Linked DNA regions of Drosophila melanogaster. The protein of the gene in region 1 interacts with the protein of each later gene in a pairwise test. Each region holds a gene or a part of one and is shown in the gene's direction. Other genes may lie near its edges.

What was found.
Region 2: the proteins of Archease (region 1) and mei-217 interact in a two-hybrid assay, tested with the Drosophila melanogaster proteins (one large-scale study listed by BioGRID).
Region 3: the proteins of Archease (region 1) and CG13043 interact in a two-hybrid assay, tested with the Drosophila melanogaster proteins (one large-scale study listed by BioGRID).

Annotation. Positions count from the first base shown.
Region 1 is NT_033777.3:21,659,622-21,666,661, reverse strand, and holds Archease (archease), read left to right. Parts: upstream 1-3,689; 5' UTR 3,690-3,797; coding exon 3,798-3,852; intron 3,853-3,918; coding exon 3,919-3,943; intron 3,944-4,442; coding exon 4,443-4,833; 3' UTR 4,834-5,476; downstream 5,477-7,040. Other genes in the region: PolA1 (DNA polymerase alpha subunit 1), read left to right, coding at 1-48; Jhbp16 (juvenile hormone binding protein 16), read right to left, coding at 136-409, 526-823, 874-1,084. UniProt on the Drosophila melanogaster protein: Component of the tRNA-splicing ligase complex required to facilitate the enzymatic turnover of catalytic subunit RtcB.
Region 2 is NC_004354.4:17,135,398-17,145,970, reverse strand, and holds mei-217 (meiotic 217), read left to right. Parts: upstream 1-2,980; 5' UTR 2,981-3,107; coding exon 3,108-3,169; exon of another isoform or gene 3,170-3,263; coding exon 3,264-3,704; exon of another isoform or gene 3,705-4,209; coding exon 4,210-4,277; intron 4,278-4,376; exon of another isoform or gene 4,377-4,489; coding exon 4,490-4,645; intron 4,646-4,767; coding exon 4,768-4,880; coding exon of another isoform or gene 4,881-4,992; intron 4,993-5,055; coding exon of another isoform or gene 5,056-6,595; intron 6,596-6,659; coding exon of another isoform or gene 6,660-7,993; intron 7,994-8,049; coding exon of another isoform or gene 8,050-8,282; intron 8,283-8,574; coding exon of another isoform or gene 8,575-8,894; 3' UTR 8,895-9,393; downstream 9,394-10,573. Other genes in the region: RpS5a (ribosomal protein S5a), read left to right, coding at 839-955, 1,255-1,353, 2,200-2,268; mei-218 (meiotic 218), read left to right, coding at 4,859-4,992, 5,056-6,595, 6,660-7,993, 8,050-8,282, 8,575-8,894.
Region 3 is NT_037436.4:16,303,397-16,309,079, reverse strand, and holds CG13043 (uncharacterized protein), read left to right. Parts: upstream 1-3,209; 5' UTR 3,210-3,288; coding exon 3,289-3,735; 3' UTR 3,736-3,855; downstream 3,856-5,683. Other genes in the region: CG13042 (uncharacterized protein), read left to right, coding at 665-676, 741-1,082; CG13063 (uncharacterized protein), read right to left, coding at 1,982-2,359, 2,422-2,433; CG43249 (uncharacterized protein), read right to left, coding at 4,490-4,702, 4,760-4,780.

The DNA of each region.
Region 1 (7,040 bases):
CAGCCCCAGATCGAAGCAATTCCGAGTGCTTTGGCGGATGTGGTCTAAGTGTTTAATTAACTAGCCTTTGTTATAAGTTCCATTAAAAATACTACAAAAGAGATACAGAGATACAGTATGGTTAACTAGATGAGGTCACGTGGCGAGGAACTTCTCGAGCGGAAAGTGCCGGAAGGACTCGTTGAATATATCCGTAAATGCCGTGCTAACCAACTCGTTAATCATCGGCTTGATGAAGGGCAATCCCAGCTGCCACATGCTGTTGATGACTCCATCGGCCAGTTGGTTGAGGGGCTGTCCCTGCAGCAAGTTCTCAATGTGCAGCTCCATTCCGCCGATGCGGTCCACCTCCACATGGACCTTGATGAGTGAGCCCGGACCGCCGATGCGCCTAACGCTGGTGGTTTGACTGAGGAAGTAAATAAAGTGAGCGATAGGTTGTCATGTAAGCCAAAAGCTATCAACAATACTGGTGTTTGCAACACAGCTTGGGAAATACATATTTCCATGCAACTCGGTGCCCACCTGTAATCGTAGAGGGTGAGGTTCCAGTGGCCTTTTCTGTTCATCTCAGTACCCAGCATCTTGGCGGCGAACTCGTACTCGCCCTCCAGACTTTTGTCGGGGAAATACTGAGTGTAGACGATGCGCTGGTCCTCTGGATCGGCATGGAACTTGGTCACCTCGGATCGCGCCCATCCGTACTCGGATACATTGCGCAATATCAGACGAAAGCTGCCCAGACCCTGTGATTCACCTCGTCGCAGCTCAACGTAGCTACAGTGGTGCGGGTCAAAGGGCTTGATGTTGTAGTCGGGCACACCTGAAAGAGTTGCTCCATGATTGCTCGCCCGTAATCCACATCTCACTCACCTGTTGTGAAGTAGGCCCTTAGGTCGTTAAACACCTGCCGCATGCACTCGTTGAAATCCTCGTCCGACCAGTGGCAACGACCCAGCAAGTGCTTCAGATCCGTATCCACGTCGATTTGGCTGGACGCGTTTGCCAAGTGGTTGGCAAAGAGCGAAATCCCCGCCAGGTAAACCAGAAGGCGAGCACAGTTTGAGAGCGACTGTTGCGACATGCTCGTGGTTTCAGTTTAACAGCAACTGTTTGTCTTCTGTTAATTTCAAAGGTAAATGTACGTTATGTTTTTATTGTCTTTATTGTTTTGAGTAAACTGATTTTGTGGGCGTGAAGAGCAACCGGTGTTTGTTGTTTAAAGTGTCCTTGTCTTTTGCATACAGTTGATCGTCTACTGAGTTGTTATTAGTTAGTTAGTTATTTTTTCTTTTATTGATTTATAAGTAGTTTATGGTGCTTTTTAAGTTCCTTGATTTCAGGTAAATTTCAATAAGTTAGGAATATGAAAGGCATTAGATAGGCATACAAAATTAAGCAAAAAAATGTATCGCTGAAAGTATATGTTAGCCATCGGTTAGTTGTTGAATCTTCATTACTACGAAAAATGTATTTGATTTAGTAATTGTTAAATACTTTTGTATAGAGTTGTAATTTTTCCAAGATAGTAGTTGTACAGTTATCATACGAATTTTATATTTGCATGAAACTTAAAGACTTATTATTATAATTGCCATCGTAAAGACTTCTCCTAGCACCGAAAATAAAAGACACTTCTTTCTCATCGCAAGCTATTCAAACAGCCTCATCTTCATGTAGTTCGTTTTGTAATCTTTTTGTTCGCCGCATGCACTTGACCCCTTTAACTTAAGCTCACCGACTATTACTGGGCTGAGTACTGCAGCAAATAGATAGCGTAAAAAGAAAACTACAAACATGACAAAATCGTGCGTTAGTATGGAAGCATGGTAACAGTGGTAAACGAAAGACTTCAACAAGACACAAACTTGGGGGTGCGAACAACTTTTAAATCCACTTAGAGGCGGCAGCCAGTCATGCAACGCGAGAGCAACAACGTATGATAATATTTGGCAATTCTTCAGTTTAGCGGTTGCATTTGCAACCAAGTTGACCAACGGTCAGTTATTTAACAAAACAAGTTACCTAGCTACTTAGTTTAGTTGAGTTTTCCGAACTCCCGAGCTTTAGTTTCACTTCCAGGCAATTTACTTCTGGTTGTTCCAAATATATAGTGTAGCCAAATATGAAATTCTGGAACTCGTACGCAAAGGCGCGCAAATATTCGAGAATAATAATAGCTTTACAGTTATTTGCGCCGAATACGCGACGTGAATCAGGCGAGCTCCCGTAGCCAACTGAACCACTCGAAGACGTAGGAAACCAGAGAAAAAGAGCTTCCACCAAAAGTGGCAGCAGCAGCCAAATGAGCCATAATAAAAAAAAAACCACAAAAATAGCAGGAAAATGTTTGAAAGCCATAATATGGCCGGGCACAAAATTGAGCTTTGTCAACTCGGCTTAGAGTTTGACACCCCCAAGTCGCGTTTCCTCATGTGCAAAATGAACAAAATTGAACAAAACGGTCGTAAATCACCAGCAGAAATCATTCATAAATTCCTTTAGAAATGCGTAGAATCATTTAATTGACCGAGATGCGCACTAACTGATAACCATTACTTAGCAAGTTATTATTAATATTATTTCATATAATTTTATAGCATGTTTGATAATAATTCATATTAATGTCCCAAAAGGTGAACAAAAAGTAAATACAAAATTCATTTGAAATAATACAAACACTTTAACTATAAAATAACTTTTCATTTCTCTTAACACACTAAATATTTCTTGAACTTTACATCAACGAGTTGAACGACCTTAGAAATAAATATTTCCTTCGCTGTCTATTTCAAACAATAACCCATCACCGCTGGTTGAAAAGTGATCTGAATTTAATGAGGCAATATTTATTAGACAATCCCATGTCCGTCAATGGGTATTATTCAAGTATGAAATCAAGTACTCACAGCCAGCGCTCAAGTTCATGGGATTGAATAAATCAAGCGACGTGATTGACAATCGTAACGATTGACGGCAATGCTGCCGGTAGGCCAGAAGAAGATTTTGTGGACTGTTTCTTTTGGCAAATGAAAATACAAGGTTGCAGCTTCAGTTGTTATGGCTGATTGCGATTTAATGAAAGGACAAGGTCGCTCTTACAGAAATTCAAAACTGGGCTGAAAACATGCGCCAGCACTTTGTAGCACTTTAAGTGCGATAACAAATGGTGGGCATAAACTGGAAATTCTGCTTTAATTTTGCTCAAAATTACTTAATTTTATTACAATCACAGCCTTTAGCACAATTTTATTTCTTTCGTTCTGTAACGTTTTTAGATATATTTTTTTTAACTAAAAGGGCCGTGGGAAGCATTTTGTAAACACTTTATTAAAGGAGGAAGCATTATTTTTATTTTTCTTCTCTTCTGATGTTGGAATCCTTCCCATTTGACATGCATATTTAAATTACAAGTTTTTTAAATTACAAAGTTAAAAATAAATGAAGCCTTTAGGTATTTTTAGATATTTTTAACAATTTCGAATTTAAAAGCTTGATAGAAACTTTTATCTTATAATTCAATCTTTATAATTTATAGTTTACTCTTTATTAAATAAAACCCAAATATTTCTTACAAACAATTTTATACATTTTATTAAAATTTGTATGTTAACATTTCCCGGTTTGAGCTCAGTATTTTCTGTAATTTGTATGTTAACAATTTCTTATTGGAGCTCGGTATATTCCTTTCAGTAGGTATTTTCCCCTGCGCATAGATGGTCACACTAAGCGGTTGCTGGTTTGTTTATAGTTTTTGTCCGCGAATTTTACTTTAACTTTAGCTATAACTAACAATAATGGAGGTGGAATTCAGTAGGGAGAACTTCCTGCTGCCGGAGATGAAGTACGAGTGTGAGTAGTTCTTCGATTTGCAGGAGAATAATCTGTTGCTAAATATTTCATCACATTGCGTTGCAGACCTGGATCACACGGCGGATGTTCAGTGAGTAAGATAACAACAAAAACAACAAGTGTGCCCGTTAGCCATGTGGAGTAGGGTGGTTCGCTATTTGTGAATGAAAAATCCAGATGATCGTATAAACTAGATTCTAATAAGCGCTTTCGTATTAGAATTTGAGATATAGCAAACATTCTGAAAAAGAATTTATTTTAATTTATACATATTTTAAAGCCATTATAATTTTTCATATTTTCCCAAACCTATGTATTATGTTCATAGTTAGGGAATACGGCTTTTTAAACGTCAAATGTATCTGCTTTTTTGAAGATTATATGTAATGCAAGTTTTTTCTGACTTTTATATTATACTACTATCGCTTAAAACAACAAGACTATTATTAAGTAGTAGATCATAAATAATTCTTTTACTACGCCACTAAAAGGCAGCAGTTTTGTATATAAATTATAACTTACGGCTACAATAGACATAATTAATTTACTTAATATAAACGGATGATGTTGGAATCCTTCCCATTTGACAGAATCCACGGATGGGGATCGTCGCTGAAAGAGGCGTTCGAACAGTGCGGAGTGGCCATGTTTGGATATATGACCGAACTGGATTACGTGTCCGTGGAGCAGTGCTTTGAAATCGAAGCGCATGGAGATGATCTGGAGAGCTTACTCTTTCACTTTCTGGACGAGCTGCTGTTCCTGTTCTCTGCCGAACCGTATCTGGTGTGCAAGAAGCTGGAGATCACCAAGTTCGATGTGGAAAACTTCGAGATTTCCTGCCATTGTTACGGGGAACCATTTGAGCTGGGGAAACATCCGCAGGGCACCGAAGTGAAGGCAATCACATACTCGGCCATGCAAATCATTCAGGACGTGGAGGCCAGCAACTACGAGGTGTTCGTGATAATTGACATTTGATCCAGCGGCGATCGCCGGGAATTAAATGTGACTGTTCTGTTTCAACCCCTTTGCCTGTCTCCATTAATCATAAGTGAAATGCCAAAAAACGATATAAAAACCGCTGCATAAGCCCCGAAAAATTTGCAATCTCTCGTGCTGCGACTGCATCCCTTGTCGATGAGGATGACTTATCAAGAAACCACTCGATTGTGCGGCTGCAAATGCAATTAGGACTGGCTTCCTTCTCACCGGTCTGATTCCGGAATCAAGATTTACCCTTTTGCCTTCGAATTTTTTGTGTACTATTCACTTTTTTTTTGCCCACTGCTTTGTGAATTGGCAACGTGTTGAATTCCCAGACAAATGCCGAATTTGTTGTCCTTTCCCAGGCCCCAGTTCAATGCACTTTTTATTCGGCAGCCTTCAGGAGTTGCTGACGCGTTGGGTTGCATTAAAGAATTAAGTTGTACTTCTTTTTGGGGAGTCATGTCGAATAGGGCAGTTAACAATGCAAGTCAAGGCCATAGTTTTAATGTTATGATTGACTTGATTTGTTCGACATAAAGTATAGAGAATGCGGGGCCTAAAAACACAAACATATTTTTTTATCAACAATAATTTAGTTCAATGAATGTAAATCGTAATAAATATCTATACGATTAAGCAATCCCTAATTCTAAATATCAATCCACGACGATATCAACAAATATTAACGCTTTTCAAAAAACCGATTTCCTTTGAATAACGCGCTATTCTCGAATCAGTATTATTCGGATGATTTTCGCGTGAGCCGATGTTATTTAGTGGCCGATGAGCGAAGTCAGCTGGTAACACCGAGCGATTTGTTTTGAAACAGCTGACCGCACCGTCAAAACCCAGAAAGTAAACAACAAAAAAAACATTTGCCGGGCAACGTCGCCCAACATATGGGCCCGTTCTTGTATTTGTGTGGGTGCGTGCGTGCACGAGTATGATGATTTTTCCTTGGAACATCGGGCGAAGAACGGCGAACTGAAAAATATACGCTTTTACAGCTGATTGATATTAAAAAAAAAGCAACGCTGCGGTCGACGAGCCATACGAATGAGCGTGCGAAAGAACAAACAAAGTATGAAGGCAAATAGCCCGCGGACACACACGCACACACAAACGGCCAGTTGGTCGATTCGCTTTTAGCTTTCAGCTTTTCGAGTGCGTCAAAGTTAAAGTGGCTGAAAAACTTGGTAAAAGTACCAATCGCCAAACTGACTACAAGACAACAGTTATTCGCGGTTATATTTGGCGGAAAGTGGGTGGCACACACGTCAGTCGCCCGTACCGCTGTTTGTTGTTGTGTTTGCTGTTGCTTTCCAATTCGCCCCGCCAATTCGCCGCACCGCTCATTCTTTCTGCAGCCACCAATTGTCATGGTGTTAAAGTGAAGAGGAAGCAGCAGCCCGTGAGCACATTGTGCGCTAGTTGTTGCCGTTTTACACCCAGAAATCGCGGAGATATCGCCCTGAAAGCCCAACCAATTGACAGGTGACGATCTCACCTATAATTTGCGATCAAAAACACAAAGCTAACCCAAGGGGAACCTAGTGAAAAACGTGGCCGAAAAATCCATACGAAGGCGGAATGGAAAAAATGTGGTAGGTAGTACTAGAAGTAGAGAATGTGACATGTGTGTGTGTGTGCATGGTTGTGCGTGTGTGTGGGGGGTGCTGCGCTGGGCATTTTCTTTATAACAGCGGGCCGCAAGCGAAACAAAAAACAACTGTTTTTGGGCGTGCGCCCAAAACGCCGGCTAAAAAAGTACATATGCAAAAAATTGCATGCCGGTCCAGCTGACATATCACCTGCATCAAGAATAAGACGTATGATGTGAGTAAAGTGTCGCGGGCGGGGGGAAGAGACAACCAAGGGTGCTGTATGATAATGCGCACTTTATATAATTGCAGCTACCTGCCATCTCTAATGTTTCGTGCTTCTATCTGTATGCGTATATGGGTGTGTGGGTGTGCGGGTGTGCAGGTGGGTGGCAAATGGCTAACGGACTTCTGTCAAATTCCAATTCATGGGATCTCCGCGCTGACGTCACTAAGATTTCATTTGCAAACATTTCAATTTGATTTATCTCAAGTGTAAAGTCGAGTTTTAGACTACAGTGAGCACCCCAAAAGCAAGAAAAAGTGATTGGTTTCAATTGGTTTAAAAATTTCATATGTTCTAAGAATATAAAAATG
Region 2 (10,573 bases), on another chromosome or scaffold:
TGGTTAGCTATTCCTCTTAAGGGCATGGCCTCAAAAATGCAATCTTAATAAAGCATAAATCAACAAAATCCTATTCTCAGAAACCGCGTGTCAGTCCACCTCAATGCCAGATGGCTTAAAAATACGATGCCATACTGAGCATAACCAAAAATGGACTAATATCAATTGAAATTGTTTTAACTATCCTTGTGCTTGAAGATATAAGCCACTTCCTGCTCTCCTGGAAATTAAAACAACACTAAAGTTAAGCATTATTCACCAAGGGTATCATTATCCGTCCAAAACTAAAACTGCAGCGTTGATCCTTACAGGGTTGTGGTATTCAACTGGACCATAATAAACCCCATGATTAGCTATTCCTCTTAAGGGCATGGCCTCAAAAATGCAACCTTAATAAAGCATAAATCAACAAAAACCTATTCTCAGAAACCGCGTGTCAGTCCACCTCAATGCCAGATGGCTTAAAAATACGATGCCATACTGAGCATAACCAAAAATGGACTAATATCAATTGAAATTGTTTTAACTATCCTTGTGCCTGAAGATATAAGCCACTTCCTGCTCTCCTGGAAATTAAAACAACACTAAAGTTAAGCATTATTCACCAAGGGTATCATTATCCGTCCAAAACTAAAACTGCAGCGTTGATCCCTACAGCGTTGTGGTATTCAATTGGACCACAATAAACCCCATGATTAGCTATTCCTCTTAAGGGCATGGCCTCAAAAATGCAACCTTAATAAAGCAATAAATCAACAGCAAAAATTCTACTTTGGTGCTTCGAGTGGATCAAGTGATAGCTTACTCATTTCGATTTTTTTTTGTGACCTCTTTGCAGATCCTGGTCAGCGCCATCATCAACTCGGGACCCCGTGAGGACTCCACCCGTATTGGACGTGCCGGTACCGTCCGTCGCCAGGCCGTCGATGTGTCGCCCCTGCGTCGCGTCAACCAGGTGGGTTTCTTCTGAAGATTTGCCTTCCAGATGCATGTGCTCACGGTGGCCGGTAGCAATGGCTTGTGGTTCGTTTAGAGACTGCTTGCTTATAACACTTGGCCAGAACGAAAATCTATCTAATATCCGTAGCGTCATAATGTGTAGTATAGCCGACATTTGGCGTATGAAACGAAGAGACATTATCAATTGCATAACACACTTTCATTTTACTAACGATAAGAACCCCAAATTCTTACGCTGCTGTGATTGCGTTCATAAAGTTACTTAATTAATTTTTTTCCGTATATTTCCTTTAGGCTATCTGGCTGCTGTGCACTGGAGCTCGTGAGGCTGCCTTCAGGAACATCAAGACCATCGCCGAGTGCCTGGCTGATGAGCTGATCAACGCTGCTAAGGTGGGTAAATTGGGCTTGTGGCGAGATCAAAGTGGGAATGGGGTGGTCTACTCTAATGCTTGGCATTGTACTACCAAAATGCCTGGCCTCGCTTGTAGACCAGATCGAGAACCACGTTCGGCACTCGGATTAACCCAAGAATTGAGCTTCGAAATAGCTCTTTTCTTCCTTCTAGTGACACAGCTAGTCATTTCAACTAGTCCAATCTAATTCTGCATCATGGTTTATTTATGTAGTCTCGCTTTTGGACCAGATCAAACTCCAAATCTCTTATTATCCTTGTGCTAGTGACCACTTAACTGTCCTATGCACACGAGAAACGTAAAAGAACACTTTTATGAATTAGCATTTAGGAACTGATTCGATTAGGATAGCGGGGGTCCAATCTAATTCTGCATAGTGGTTTAATTATGTAGTCTCGCTTTTGGACCAGAACAATCACCATCCTTTATTATCCTTGTGCTTGTGACAATATCAGTCTAATGCACACGAGAAACGTAAAAGAACATTAGCAAACTATTTAAGAGTTGGTATATAGAGCTTAATAATAGGTCCAATCTAATTCTGCATGGTGGTTTAATTATGTAGTCTCGCTTTTGGACCAGATTAATTTCCATCCTTTATTATCCTTGTGCTTGTAATATTGCTTAGTTCAATGCACATGAGAAACGTAAAGGAACACTAGCTTTAAATAAGTTAGGGACTTGTTTTTTTATATTTATTTATTTAGAAGCGATGAATCCATACAATGCAGTAACAGTAACATAACAGCGCAATTAACATATAAAAGATCTAGAAAAACATTGATAGCCAATACTAATAACTTGTGTTTAAATGTATTTCCAGGGATCTTCCAACTCGTACGCCATCAAGAAGAAGGATGAGTTGGAGCGTGTCGCCAAGTCCAACCGTTAAGGAGACATCATCACCAGCAAAAACAAACTTCTGTCTGTTTTTTTTTATACAAATAACGTGTGTACACTGAGAAATGATACACTAAAACTAAAATAAACAACAAGATGAAAAATTCACTTCAGACCATTCTTTTTTTATAGTTTTTAGTTTATAATAAACTTGGTTGTCAGAGAAGAACGGATATTTTAGCTATTTTCTATCGGGCTGCTGGTGTCAGAAATATGTGAGGTTAAGCGTGAGTAAAACGTGAAATTGTCTTGCTTGGAATAGCTAAAAATATTGAAATGAAATTTAGCTAAAAAATTAAAGTAAATTACATGGTTTAAACAAATTGAAACTTTAAAAAGTTTTTTTTATCGATATTGATACAATTTCTTTCATAGATATTTCTCTAACTACTCACGATAGATCACTAAAATACGGTTTTTTTAGTGTATAAAATCTATAGATAGTTGCGATACTCCATCGATCTGGCATCACTTTTCTAAAATAAATGTATTGGAAAGCTGGCAACAGTTTACAATACTCCGATTGTTTTAAGCCCTTAAATTCTACATTTATATATTCTATTCTTCGCTTTTGAAGAACTCTATGCCAAAGCAACAAAAGATCCATTTATTGTAGGAGGCTAGTCATTAGTCATTTAACGACATTTAAAATCTAAGTCACACATTACCCGATCGAAAAACTTCAGTATCGATTTAAATCAGGGCTCGATAGGTACACTTCATATCGCAATCGGTTTTAATTCCAATTTTTCCTTAGTCAAACACTTCATTTTAAAATTCTTTGGTAGTAGGTCGGATTGAAATAAGTTCACATTTCTGGATTAGTGTATAATGTTCACAGTGGATGCAAGCGAAGGATCATCAGTTGTAAACGAGACTCCATTAAAAAGCCAGTAAGTGCACGGTAATCCTGGTTAAAAAACAGGGCGCATTTATTTTCGCAGGCTCCTAAAGACATAAAACACGAAATGCTAATATACAATACAGATTCCACGATCAGAAGTTGGTTGAGCACTTTTGCCGGCAGACGCAGCTGCTCAAGCTGGTCCAGGTCTCCTCTGGCCGCTTTGTGGCGAACTATATGAGCTCCCGGCGGCCAGAGGACCTGCTGGCCCCCATCCAGCTGCGCCTGGACTTCGAATACCGGCAACTACTCGATATCTCACCGCAACTACTGCAGCTCATCGTCGAGGAACCGCTGCAGTTTCAAGAAGCGGTCCGCTACTCGGTTTATGGCTTGATCCGCTCACATCTCAAGGACGCTGGCCTGAAGCCCATCGATATCAACCAGCTGCACGCCCACTGGCGCCTGGTGGGACTGCCCTTTACGCCGGGCCTGCAGTTCGAGCCGCGGGACCAGTTGACCCGGCTGGGCTTGTCCCAGATCCGGGGCATCCTAGCCGCTTTCACGCCGCAAGAAACACTGGTGTCAGTTTTACAGTTTGTACATGTCCTGGCAGAGAATTGCAATGTTCCCCTAGTTTGCTTTGGTGTGCTTTTTCCACATTTTTCTTATTCGATTTGGTTATGTTTGGGTACTATGTATCCTGTCATGCCTGATTAATTATAGTTATAGTTCTTAACTAACCAAGCTAGCCAAGCTGGTTTACCCTTTTTGGTTTAGTTCAAGAGGGTTTTAAGCTTAGTCTCTTAAGTGTAAATACCAACCTACAAAAGAAGTATATCTATATCCCATTAACTTTCTATGAATGTTCATTGTTGTTAAAGTTAAAAAAGCATGGATCGTATTATCGTTATTTTTTATTTAAGTGGGTTAATGGTATTTATTATTTGTCTATTGCATGTATTATTTTCTTATGCTTTAGGCAATATCTGTTTCTAAACATATTAATTATAAAACACACAGCTGCTCTGCTAGGGTGTACCAATCTTTGATAATATGTGTAATTTATATCCTGATATTCCATTGTAGCCTACAATCGATCTGGTACTGCGGCAGTGGCTGTATGCGAAATGCCATACAGACCAGCTCAACAGATGGTAGGTCCCATAGGCTAGGAACATAAAGAAACAACGTGCACTTTATCCAAATTGTGGCACAGCCAACAACCTCTAACTAACAACCTCTAACCTCTAGCCATACTCACAACCCTCGGAACCCTGTCTAACAAAATGTTATCTAACCCAGCATTCCTTGTTCACGAGATCCTGTGCCAGCTCCATTGCTAATCCATCTTCTTGATATCTTTCAGCACCCTTTTGTTCGAGCTGCTCGCGGCCCATGAGTGAATACCAAAAGCTGCGCGTCACGGAAACCTATCGTATCTTGGCTGTCTTGCCTATTTCGGCAGTTCAGACACCTCGTGTCACCAATTGCCTTCATCGCCCAAAATTAGTTCGCCTTAGAGGTAAGTGAATCTGGTATTCAGGACATCATAAACACGTGAAATTAAATATGCCTGGTAAACTAGGACATACTCATTTGGATGTCACTATCATGAATAATCATAATATTAACAACATTTCTTAGCCCACGCCCACGACTGCGAATTAAAGTTGGGTGCTAGCTACCTAATCACTGGATACTTTGCGAGCTCAGCCAGCACATATCAACTGGAAGCATGTCATCTACGAATAAACTAGAGAAAAAGGACCCTCGTAGGCACATTCCCCTCCAGCTTAATGTTTTCTTGCGCAACGATGACGATGGTGAAGTTCGTGAAGTTACTCAAAATGCCAACACAAGCTCCATAGGGTAGAATATTCTATTTACACCATTATAATAAGCAAATATATTAATGTATCCCCCAATGCCCAGCACCATACCATCGAATGGCCTGGTCGAAAGCGATGTGACGCCTATTATGACTCCCACACCGAAGGCCGGTGTCTACAAACCAAATGTTAACGTCTGGCGCTTATCTAAAGAAGTCACTAAGCCTGATCGTAGCTTTGTTGTGAGTGCCGAAGAGTATCCTGATTTGGGCCAGCGCCCGAAGAGATTCAAACAACGAACGCCGCGGGTGCGTAATCAAGATGACGGCGGCACTGTTTCGTGCCTTGCCAGTCGTTTTAGTCGCGTAAAAGATCCGCCTGTGCTGGGTAACTTTTTGCCGGATTTCATGCTTCCGAAATCGAGCAACAGCAATCATCAATCGGTGACCACTTGGCTGTCGTCAGTACGTCCTAGCGACAGCCAAAAGTCTTTAAGCGACCAGGCACGTTGCTCTTCTTCGACCAATATAACACTGCTGAGTAAAGATTCAGTACAGCCGCTGACGCCAAAAAGTTCTGCCCAGTCCTCTCCGGGTGAGAAGAATATCCAACAGGAGCAGAATACTCCAGCTAAATCCCAACAGGAGGAGACAAGTCCGGCTAATTCTGTCGAGCATCAGCAGAAAACACCTAACTCTCCAAAGGAGCAGCAGAAGAGTTCTGTCGGTTTTACTAACATGCAGCAGATGGCTTCCGCCAATTCTTTACAGCAGCAAAACAGTTCTGCCAGTTCCTTACAGCAGCAGAATAGTTCGGTCCATTCCTTACAGAAGCGGAAGAGTTGGGTCAATTCTTCACAGCAGCAGAGGAGTTCGGTCAATTTCATACAGAAGCAAAGGAGTTGGGTCAATTCCTCGCATCATCAGAAGAGTTCTGCCAGTTCTTTACAGCAGAAGAGTTCTGAAAATTCTCCCAGCAAATTCCAACAGCAGCAACAGAAGAGTCCTGCCAATAATGAAAGGAGCCAAAACAATCAGAAGTCTCCTGGCATTCAGCACTCTTGGAAACAACAACAGCAGCAGAAGCCAAAGATTCTTCAGAATTGTCCGAAAACTTCTGTTCAGCAGCAGATGAACCCTGTTAATCATACTCAGTCGCAATCAGAGAGACCTACCGAGCTCATTTACTTGCACTCAAGGAGCCCTGCGAAGAGAGCTTCAGTTACAAACAATTCTTCGGCACCAATCCGCATTGCGCCCAGACAGCAGACCACTCAATCTTCGGGTCCCAGTGTTGTCCACAATGAGGACGAGGATGTTATGCCGCCGACGCCTAATCAAAGTGAGAGAAGGCAGAGGAGATTCCCACGTCGCAATCACAACCCCCGGATGGTGCGCAGTCTGCAGGCGGTAAGTCGAGAGTTTACAGAGTCCTTGCTTGAGGGATCTTCAGGGAAAACGCCGGAAAAAGAGGTGGTGCCGTACCAGCAACAGGAGAAACCGCGCCAGGTGAAAAGCTCACCAGAAATCCATGCGAGCAGCCACATGCGAAAATTGGCTATGGGCAGCGTTTTGAACTCAAATGCTAAGGAGTTCCACCCTACCGGAGAATCCCATCTAACCCACAAAGTGTCTAGATTGAGCGTAAGTTACTGCACCGTAAGTTTAATCCTCATTAGATAACCCTTTCTATATTGGACAATTACAGCAAAGACGCTGTCGACAGCGTTTTACGCGCTCTTTGCACGCGAAAAAAAATAACCCACGCGAGCAACTACCAAATCCTGACAGCGCCCCAGAACCAATACTCGAATACACCTCTGAGATAGATGATCAGCCATGTCCACCACGACAGACAGTCGACACACCGATCGAAGCCATTGTACCACCGGCAATGATCGAGGTGAGTGCCACCGGCAATCTGCCGCCCGTGTTCTATTTTGATCAGCAGTCGGGAATTATATGGAGCAACTCGTCACCACAAATTCCGGTTGAAATCCAAAGCAACAGTGTCAGCCAGTCGGTTTTTCGGCTAGCCAGTCTCCCGTGTACAGGGGTTGGCACCACCAATATGGATATATTTACCAGTTCGCCACCCCCCATCCAGCATATGAGCTCCAGCCGCCTCCCATCCAGCATTTCCGGGCCCACCCAGTTATCGCATACTCTCAGTTCGCCGCCGGTGGAGAACCAGCACCAGCAACACTTGTGGGAATCATGCATCCACCAGGACGAGGACCTAATGTACAGCAGGCCTCTGTTGGATATGGATCAGGAGGAAACCCAGCCGGAGCAACAGGACCAGGAATGGCAGTGGGAGTCGGAGATAGAGCCCCCGAGTTTCCAGTCGGAGAACCAGGTCGTCGCCGACGAACACGGCGAGGAAAACGCGTACCTCGCTAAGGACGCAGGACCACCACTCGAGCGTCATATGATATTTCGAGCCCCATCACAGCACGGCCAAGAATATCCCAAGCCGGATCTAAACTGCGTGCCGTCCAGCATCAAGAAACTACATCACTTGATCTCATCGCAGTATTCTGACTACTCCTTTGTCTACGCCCTAAGTGCTCAGATCAGTCAGGACTGTGTGCCTATGGATTGCTTTGTGTACCTGAAGATGATACTGCTGGCCAGTATCGTTTCAATCGAATCTGATGAGGTGCGGGCTCCAATTTCGCTATGCATAATCGCCACCGACAGCCTGATGGCCAACCGTCTACTTAACAAAGTGGGCCAACTGGCACCACGTTTCCTGGGACCCCACGAATACGGACTGCAGCCCACTTTCAATGCCCTGCCCACGCGCTTTAATTGGATAGTGGCCAGTCCTTTACTATTGGCACAACAGGGAGTTTACTACGCCGGCGATTGGAATCGTCTGTCCAAGGATCAGGGATGCCAGCTGGAAAAGTGCATCGAAAATGGAGCGGTCCCAGTTCCGCAGTTGCACATCGATCAGCCCTTAAAGGCAGCCGTTTGGACTTACTGGCAGCCGAACAACTCCACCAATCAAACACTGGCCCTCGCCAAACTGTGCCCGTAAGGTGGACAAAACTAGAAATTACGCTTGTATATTAAGTTAACCTAATTTGCAGAATCTTCGGGCTGCCAATTTATATGGGTGCTCAGGCCAGCAATAGTCTCTGGAACTCTATAATTCAGAAGCACAACGCTGAGGGTCAAATTGTAGTCAACGATGGCTTGAGCATTCCCGAGGACGATATGCGCATGCTTATACATCTGTTGCATCAGCGCAAGACCACCTTAACCGATGGCGCTCAGCATATGCTGCAAAAGTATTATGTGATCTCCAGGAAAGAGCGACCGAGTAAGTCTAATTCCATTAAGCAGCAAATCGTCTTCCTAGCTTCAAAGCGAAGGGTCGTGTCAGTACGGCTTTATGAAACACAGATCAACAAACACAACAACAATCACAATTCAAACAGATCTCATCCAAACTGACTTTAGTAATGTTTCGCATTTAGCATGTTTCGAGAACAATTAACAGAGTCAAATTGTTAATTATTTTCGAAACTTGAAATACTATTTACAACTTTTGTTACTATTTTGTGCTCCTCTAATCGATGGCAACTAACGTTTTCCATCCCGCTCATTTCCAGATGTCTTCTCTAGCAAGACCTATATAGTGCTGAAGCAATTAGCTGAGTGCTTTGCCAAGCTGGCGCTGCGGCTGGAGGTCCTTGAATCGGACGTTTGTGTGGCCATCTTTCACTGCGAGCATTTCGTGCAGGGCATTTTCGGGGCCAAAGAAAACCAGGCACCGCCGGCGGTCTTCAATTTCAATGTGATCTCCTGCATCGATCCGTACATGAACAAGTTTACACGCTGGTTACTTCAGTATCTGAATAGCTACGAGGACGAGGAGCTGGGGATGCACGCGGATAAGAGGCGGCGCACAGATAGCTGGGACATGCCCTAAACGCCTGGCATAGATCCCTATAGACCAACTTGGCATTGATTTGGCATTACTCGTAGATTTATAACCATCGCACACTGGACCAATTTTGAATACCTTTTGTAGTTTTATACAGATAAATTTACAGCACATGTGTTTGTAAACAAAATCGGCACTATAGCCACTAGATACTACACCCTAGCCATTCTCTACTACACAAACAACACCTGAAGCGTTCAAAAACGAAGACTATATTTGTAAGCATTCACACATAGCCGACACATACATACATCCCCCATCTCCTCCACATTCAGTATCTTTTGATTCATTCGATATATGTTTTGTGTATATCGCAAGCTAATCGCGGATAGTTTTAAAAATTTAATTCGCGAAAATCAGGAAAATTTTGGAATAATCTTGTACCGTTGTTAATCGCTAATCAACGATGTTTTTGCTAATTTTTTGGAAGCTATGTACTTGTAAAATTGTTTTTGGGACAAGTATTAAAATTAAATGTGTGGCCAAGAATCTATATAGTTTTGTTTTTTATAAAAACCATATTTCCACAGAATATGCTTACACCTGAAATGAATTGTTAACAATACATAAAATAGTTACATTACGTCGGGGACATCAGGAATACTTTACAAAAGTTATAGTACATAAAATAAGGATGCCATAGATATTTTTAAAAATATATGGTAAGAAGTGTTTACTTTTTGGAGAATTTTGGATTTTTTTTCTCAACTTCAAGTCCAAGGAAAACTATCTACTTATAAAAAAAGTAGTACTTTAATTTTTTTGTTAATAAGAATTAAACCTAAATGCCAAGAATAGTCAAATAGTTTTTTTTTTTGGATTTTATGATAAAAGACAATATTTCCACAGAAAACCTGAAACAGGCTGTGAATAAATGTAACTTAACAATAATTAAGAAATGGACACCAAGAAAGTTAGTAAGTAAATAAATAAAAGAATGTCAAACAAATTTAATTGTTTTTAAATGCAGAACGCTCAATTACTTTGTTGACTACGTTAACTATGTAAAGTCAACAAAATGTTAAGAATACTCTGAATACTTCCGTTTCGAATCGAATAAAAATCATTTGTTTATTTAAAAAAACAATTCTTTTTATTAACTACCTTGTATTGTTACACATATATTTATACATAATTATTGTTATTATTAGTTTAGTGTTTCTCAGTTATTCTCTTGCTTTTGATTATCCTTTCCAGCTGCCTGAGCAAATCGTTCAGTTTTAGTCTTACGCGTAGCGATGGGCAAATAATTTGACCCCCCTATCTCTCGATTGGATTGTACCAATTATACATTTATCAAAATATATGGTATATTTTTCATAAAATATAATAGATAGGCATACAATATTATAACGTTATTGGGTAAATTCACGATGAAACTTCAAGTGTTCAAGAGTCATTTTGGTAGTTACTTTTAAATCGTTATACAATTTGTATACGTTTATTGCTATATTCTAGGGTTTATGATATATATGCGATCATATAGATGCTTGCCTTTGATACCAGGCCGTCCTAATAAGCAAGAATTTCAAAATCTGTTGTATGATTAGGTTTTAGAATGGCGGTGTTAGTAGCATGGGACTGTTTTTGACTTACAATCGTTTCTAAATCTAGACATAAAAATAGTTCTTAACTACAATATGACAAAGTAAAATGTATATACA
Region 3 (5,683 bases), on another chromosome or scaffold:
CTGCTGTGCGTGTTGCAGCTAGGGGAAATTTTCACGGTCAGTTGCGAGGAGGAAAATGACAAGTGCGAAGCACATTTTCAGCGACACCCGTCTTGGCCTGAAGTGCTGAAAGTGGCGGCTGCTGGCCAACTGCCCGAATGGGCCAGAAACCTAACGTCTGTGAGCTCAACCCATTCGGTCAGACATTACATTTTGACTGGTTTCTATTTCTTTTTTTTTTGCAACCTAATGGGGTACGATGTCTTAGGTGGGCAGTGGCCACCACACTCGGTCAGTTGGCCATTTGGGCATTTGCCGAGTTGTGGGGGGAGTGGGGTGTGCTGGTATTTTCTGGCCAAAAAGCTGGCCGAAGACAAAGCGAATCAGCTGCTGCACATGCAAACTCGGCGAACTCCCCGTTGGCGTTATTTTTCAGCTTTTCTTAACGATGCTTGAAGGAGGAAAATAGCAAATGGCCAAAAAAAAAAGAGCAAGAAAATTATTATTATTGTATTTTCTGCATTTTAAGATTCGGTTGCACATGGGCTCTGCTCGGCTTTTTGGGCACTATAAAAGCCGCTGCAAATTTGGAGCTAACCACACAAATCGGCGAGGCGTCAACACAGACCAACAGTTCAGTAGTTCAGCCAATAGCTAGCGCACCAGGATCGCAAGGATTAGCAAAATGTACAAGTTGGTGAGTCTACCCTATGGCCAAGTCACATGATTCTGGACCTAATGCTATAATTTTCATCGAAAAGGTGGTGTTCTTCGCTCTGCTCGCCGTCGTGGCTGCCCGTCCGGGTTATTTGGAGTCTGGTCCACTGCTCCACAGCTATGCCGCTCCTGCCATCATCCATGAACCGGCTCTGGCCAAGGTGGGCGCCATCATCAAGACCGTGCCCAGTGCCGTCTCCCACCAGAGCATCAGCCAGGTGCACAGCTCGGCCCACATCATCCAACCGATTGTGGCTCCGGTGGTGAAGACCTATGCCGCTCCCATCATCAAGACTTATGCGGCTCCTGCCCTCCACACGACCCTCCTCTCGTCTCCGTGGGCCGGACATGGTTGGGCTGGCCATGGCTGGGCTCCGTCCTGGTAAATGTGATGGAGGTCCTGGATGGCATTGCGTGGGCTAGCAACTTTGGCTTACCCTCACCTCGATCCCATGCTTAAACTCTCAACCCTGCTGTTTTGTTTTTCTTCTTTCACATTTCGACTGATGTAAATAAATCCATGTTTCATGCTCAAAATAATTCTGTGGCATATTTCTTAATGGAAAAACACTTTATGCTACCAGTTCACTAGAAGTTAGATAAGAACTCGGTATCAGTGCTTTTACCTTAACTTATGTGGCTGGTAGTTCTTATCTATCACGATTTGGTTGCTTGATGTTTATACGTGTTTTGAAATTTATCTTGGATAGTACTTTATTCTAAATCGTTATCAAGCAATTATTGTTTATTGTTCGTTGTTTAAATTATGCTTTCAATACTCTACTTATACCATTTATAGTAGTACATATATGAACAATAGTATATCCTTAATGAATTAATTCTATCTGAATATAACATAGAAATTGATGACTGTTTAAAAAAATTCCAAATTTCAGGCACTATGTAAGATCAATTAATCTTCAACTCAAAACAAGTTTTGTTTAGTAATCCAATTTTTTTTCAGTAGTAATCTACAACTATAAGAAATGTGAACTTATATTATATATATAATTATATATTATATATATAATATATGTATATTATATTATATTATATTAATTTGTATCTTCAATTTAAAAAGGCATTTAAAGCCCAAATTTTCAAATTGTAGCTGTATTTTTGTAAGTATGGCTACAGCACTATAGTAATTTCCCAATCAAAACAAATGTCAATTTTTTAACAATCACATTTTACTCGCAATTAAACTCAATTATGTACAATAGGAATCGCTATTTTCTAACCGTCCAGTTCGCTGGGATGAGTCCCCAAAGGTCTAGTCTTTCGATTACCAGCTGGAGTTGTAGACAACCGGAGAAGCGGCGGCATAGGAGGTGTGCACCACCGGGGCGGCATAGCTGGTGTGGACAACGGGAGCGGCAGCATAGGCGGTATGCACCACTGGGGCAGCTGCAGCATAGCTGACCACCGGAGTGGACTTCACCACCGGGGCCACGATGTCCTCCACTACATGCGAGTGGCTGTGCACCACCGACTGGCTCTGGTGGGAGACCGATGTGGGAATGCTGCTGACCACAGAACCCACCTTGGCCAGAGAGCGCTCCTGGACAACGGTTGTGGCAGCTGGAGCGGCATAAACCAGAGGAGACTCATAAAGATGACCGGGACGAGCGACAGCTACGGCGAGGAGAGCAGACAACACCACCTGGACAAGAGAGTTGGAGGATTAATTGATGATATAATGCTGTGATAAATTTTGTAACTTACCAATTTGAACATGTTTAAGGATTTTTGTTTCTTGGTCTGTGTTGTGCTGCTGAAGCGAACAAGTTGACTGATAATTTGACAACCGCAAGTGCCGCCTTATATATGGTTAAAAATGGATGTTCACGACGCGGCTGCAAGGCGAAGAAAGAGTGGTTTAATTAAAACATTTACGAGCAGAGCAGAGGGCAGTCAAAACCAAATGAGTTGTATAAATCTGCCCTCGCCGGCACAATAAAACATGAGACTTGCATTTGGTCACTGTGAGACCCAAAATCCCAAAAACCCGTAGCCCAAAACCAAAAAGCTCACGCACTGCAAGTTGACCCTGACTCACGCCCCCAAAGTGCAAGTAATGCAGTCGCCGAGGAATCACTGTATCTAATGGCAGTCAAGGGGCTAATGGCTGTGATTCGGATCAGTTTTACACAGAAGAAATAAGTGAGGCAATAAGTGAGGAGTGATCTATTATTTAATTTAAAATATTAAAAAAATATCACTATACTTAAAACTCCAAAGTATATAAAGAATGTGTTCAAATTAAAGACGCAATGATATGAAATATTTATCATAATACGATCACTTTTTTTCTCTGTGTATCACATTTCCGAGTACCCGAACAAGTAGTTCGCTTGTCTCCGCTGAGCCGTCCACCGACGCTAATTGCTTATTGATCGTTGGCCAGAATCTGATATGGGTATGACTTCGGTCCGAATTGTGACGCACTTTTGTGAGCCGGAAGGTCAAAGCCAAATGGCTGCTGTATAAAAAGATAGATGCAGCCCGGCAAACGGCAACAGTTCTCGCAAGAAACTCAAACCGATCACTCCCAATTCCAAACAGTCAATACAGACCTAACCCATTTCCAAAATGTTCAAGTTGGTGGTATTGTCTGCTCTGCTCGCTGTAGCCGCTGCCCGTCCCGGTCACCTGTTGGAGTCCTCCCCGCTGGTCTACGCTGCCCCAGCAGCGACGACCATCGTCCAGGAGCCCGTTCTGGCCAAGGTGGGAGCCGTGGTCAAGAGCGTACCCACTGCCGTCAGCCACCAGAGCCAGTCGGTGGTGCACAGTCACGCTCATGTTGTCGAGGATGTCGTTGCTCCCGTGGTGAAGTCCACTCCGGTGGTCAGCTATGCTGCTGCCGCTCCAGTGGTTCACACCTCCTATGCCGCTGCTCCCGTTGTCCACACCAGTTACGCTGCTCCTGCTCCCGTTGTTCACACATCCTACGCCGCCGCCGCTCCCGTTCTGGCCACATCCTACGCCCAAGTGGCCGCCTCCTCGCCGCTGACCTACACCGCCACTGGTGTGTGGTAAATCCATGGCCAGGCCCACTCCGAATCCTACTCCTCTCACTGTTGACAGGTGACCAGGATGCATGTGCATCGCTGGACGGTTTTGTGATACGAATTTTAAATAAATAAATGTTTTGCTTTGAAATCGTGCAAGTTGTTTTCTTCACCCTGCGGGTCATTTATCTTCCTGTAGTTCCTAAAGAGTCTAAACAGATGATAGTAACAAATAGCTTTTATCACTAATATATAGATGAAATATATATACTAATACAAAGGTACTAGAACTGAAAAAGTAAATTAACTGTGGAACTCATTGTTCTTGGTAAATATATAATGAAATTCGGGGCTGATTTACTTTGTCTTGAAATTCAAAATGTTAGGCGAAATGTTGACATTTTGACGTGAATTTAGACTTTTTTTTTAAACATTTTCCGGCGCGTGTGGACTTGGTCTTAGCTCGCTTGGTGTACTAAAAGTGTCCTGGTTCAATGCCCTGTGTCACGTATCTACTTACATCCTGCTGCACCTGTGCCGTGGGTAAATATTGGACACCCATATGTCGGAAAAACGCCACATATGTGGGTGAAAATTAGCTGGGTGACAGCGTGGGCATCCCGCTGGTTGGGAATTGCTGACATTTTCGGGCAGTGAACTCAACGAACCATTAGCCCTCTTCAAGGGCATTTCTAAAAGTCATTGTACCTCTGATTTAAACGTTTTTAATAATACAGGCTAAAAACATTTTAAATCACTTTTTTTACAATTAAAACAATACATTAGTTAAAATGTTTGGTGCGGAAGTGTGTAATCATGGGTATCTCCATCTTTAACTTGGCAGCAAAATCAGCAAGGGGCTGGAAAAACATGGTTAGTGCTCCACTCAATCCGCGATCCACCTCTGTCACGTTCACCTCCCTTCTGACTATCTCGTGGCGGCCATTAACATATCCATTGGTGCAGTGGATGCTCAGAAGGATTAGAACAAATATCTAGAAAGAAATCCATTTAACAGAGTATTTTTATGAATATTTTCTATATTTTCTTACCGCTTTCAACAGGTAATCCATTTGTAGTGTTATCAACGGCGGGTTAAATGCAATCACTGGTGCATTATTAAAATTCTACGCATTTATATACCAAATTCTGTTCAATTCTTCAATACGAGTGTTCTGGATGTTCTGGACAGGTGCAGTCACAATTTTACGGAATAGAAAAATAAACACAGACAGTTTACTTGGAGGAAAGCAACACTTCAGTGGTCGGATTAGGTTTAAAAATGGTCAACAAAACTGTACATATATATCTAAATCCATTTTCTTCCTACAAAAAAGTTTACAAGCAGTACATATATGGCGGGATTTGGCGAAACGTGCCGGGATCTCTAGCGGGATTTCTGGCGGGGCCTTTCGGGCTCCCGCGGGATTTCGGGATAAAAGGTAGAAAGTTGAGATTAAGTATGCAGATTCCAGAGACATATACATTTGTTGACCCACGTTGTAAAAAGACGCCACACCCACAGTTTTGAAAAAACTGTTAAAATTTTCATTTAATAATCAAAGAGGTTGTTGAACTTTCTCGTTCGCATTCCCACTAGCTGATAAGCGGGTATCTAATAGTCGAGTAAATATACTATAGCGTTCTTTCTGTAGCTTTTACTCACTACTGTTTTGAATGACCATTTTAATCAAGCAAAAATCATTGCGAATTCTTGGAATTTAAGTAAATGCGAGTAAGCCAAGCGAAAGTGTTTTCCTGTCATTATAAACTTGGCCTTGAATTGGGTCGGAAGCGATTACGATTGGTTTCCAATTAGAAGTAATCTCGGACCCTTGGTTCTCCCTCCGCACCAGAAATCGATCTTCAGGTGAGTACGTGCGACTAATGAGCTCCGAGTTGTGAAATGAAATCAAGAGTGGGTATGGCAAACAAGTGCGAGGCCGAAAATAAGTGAAGTAATGAGTAGTGGGAAA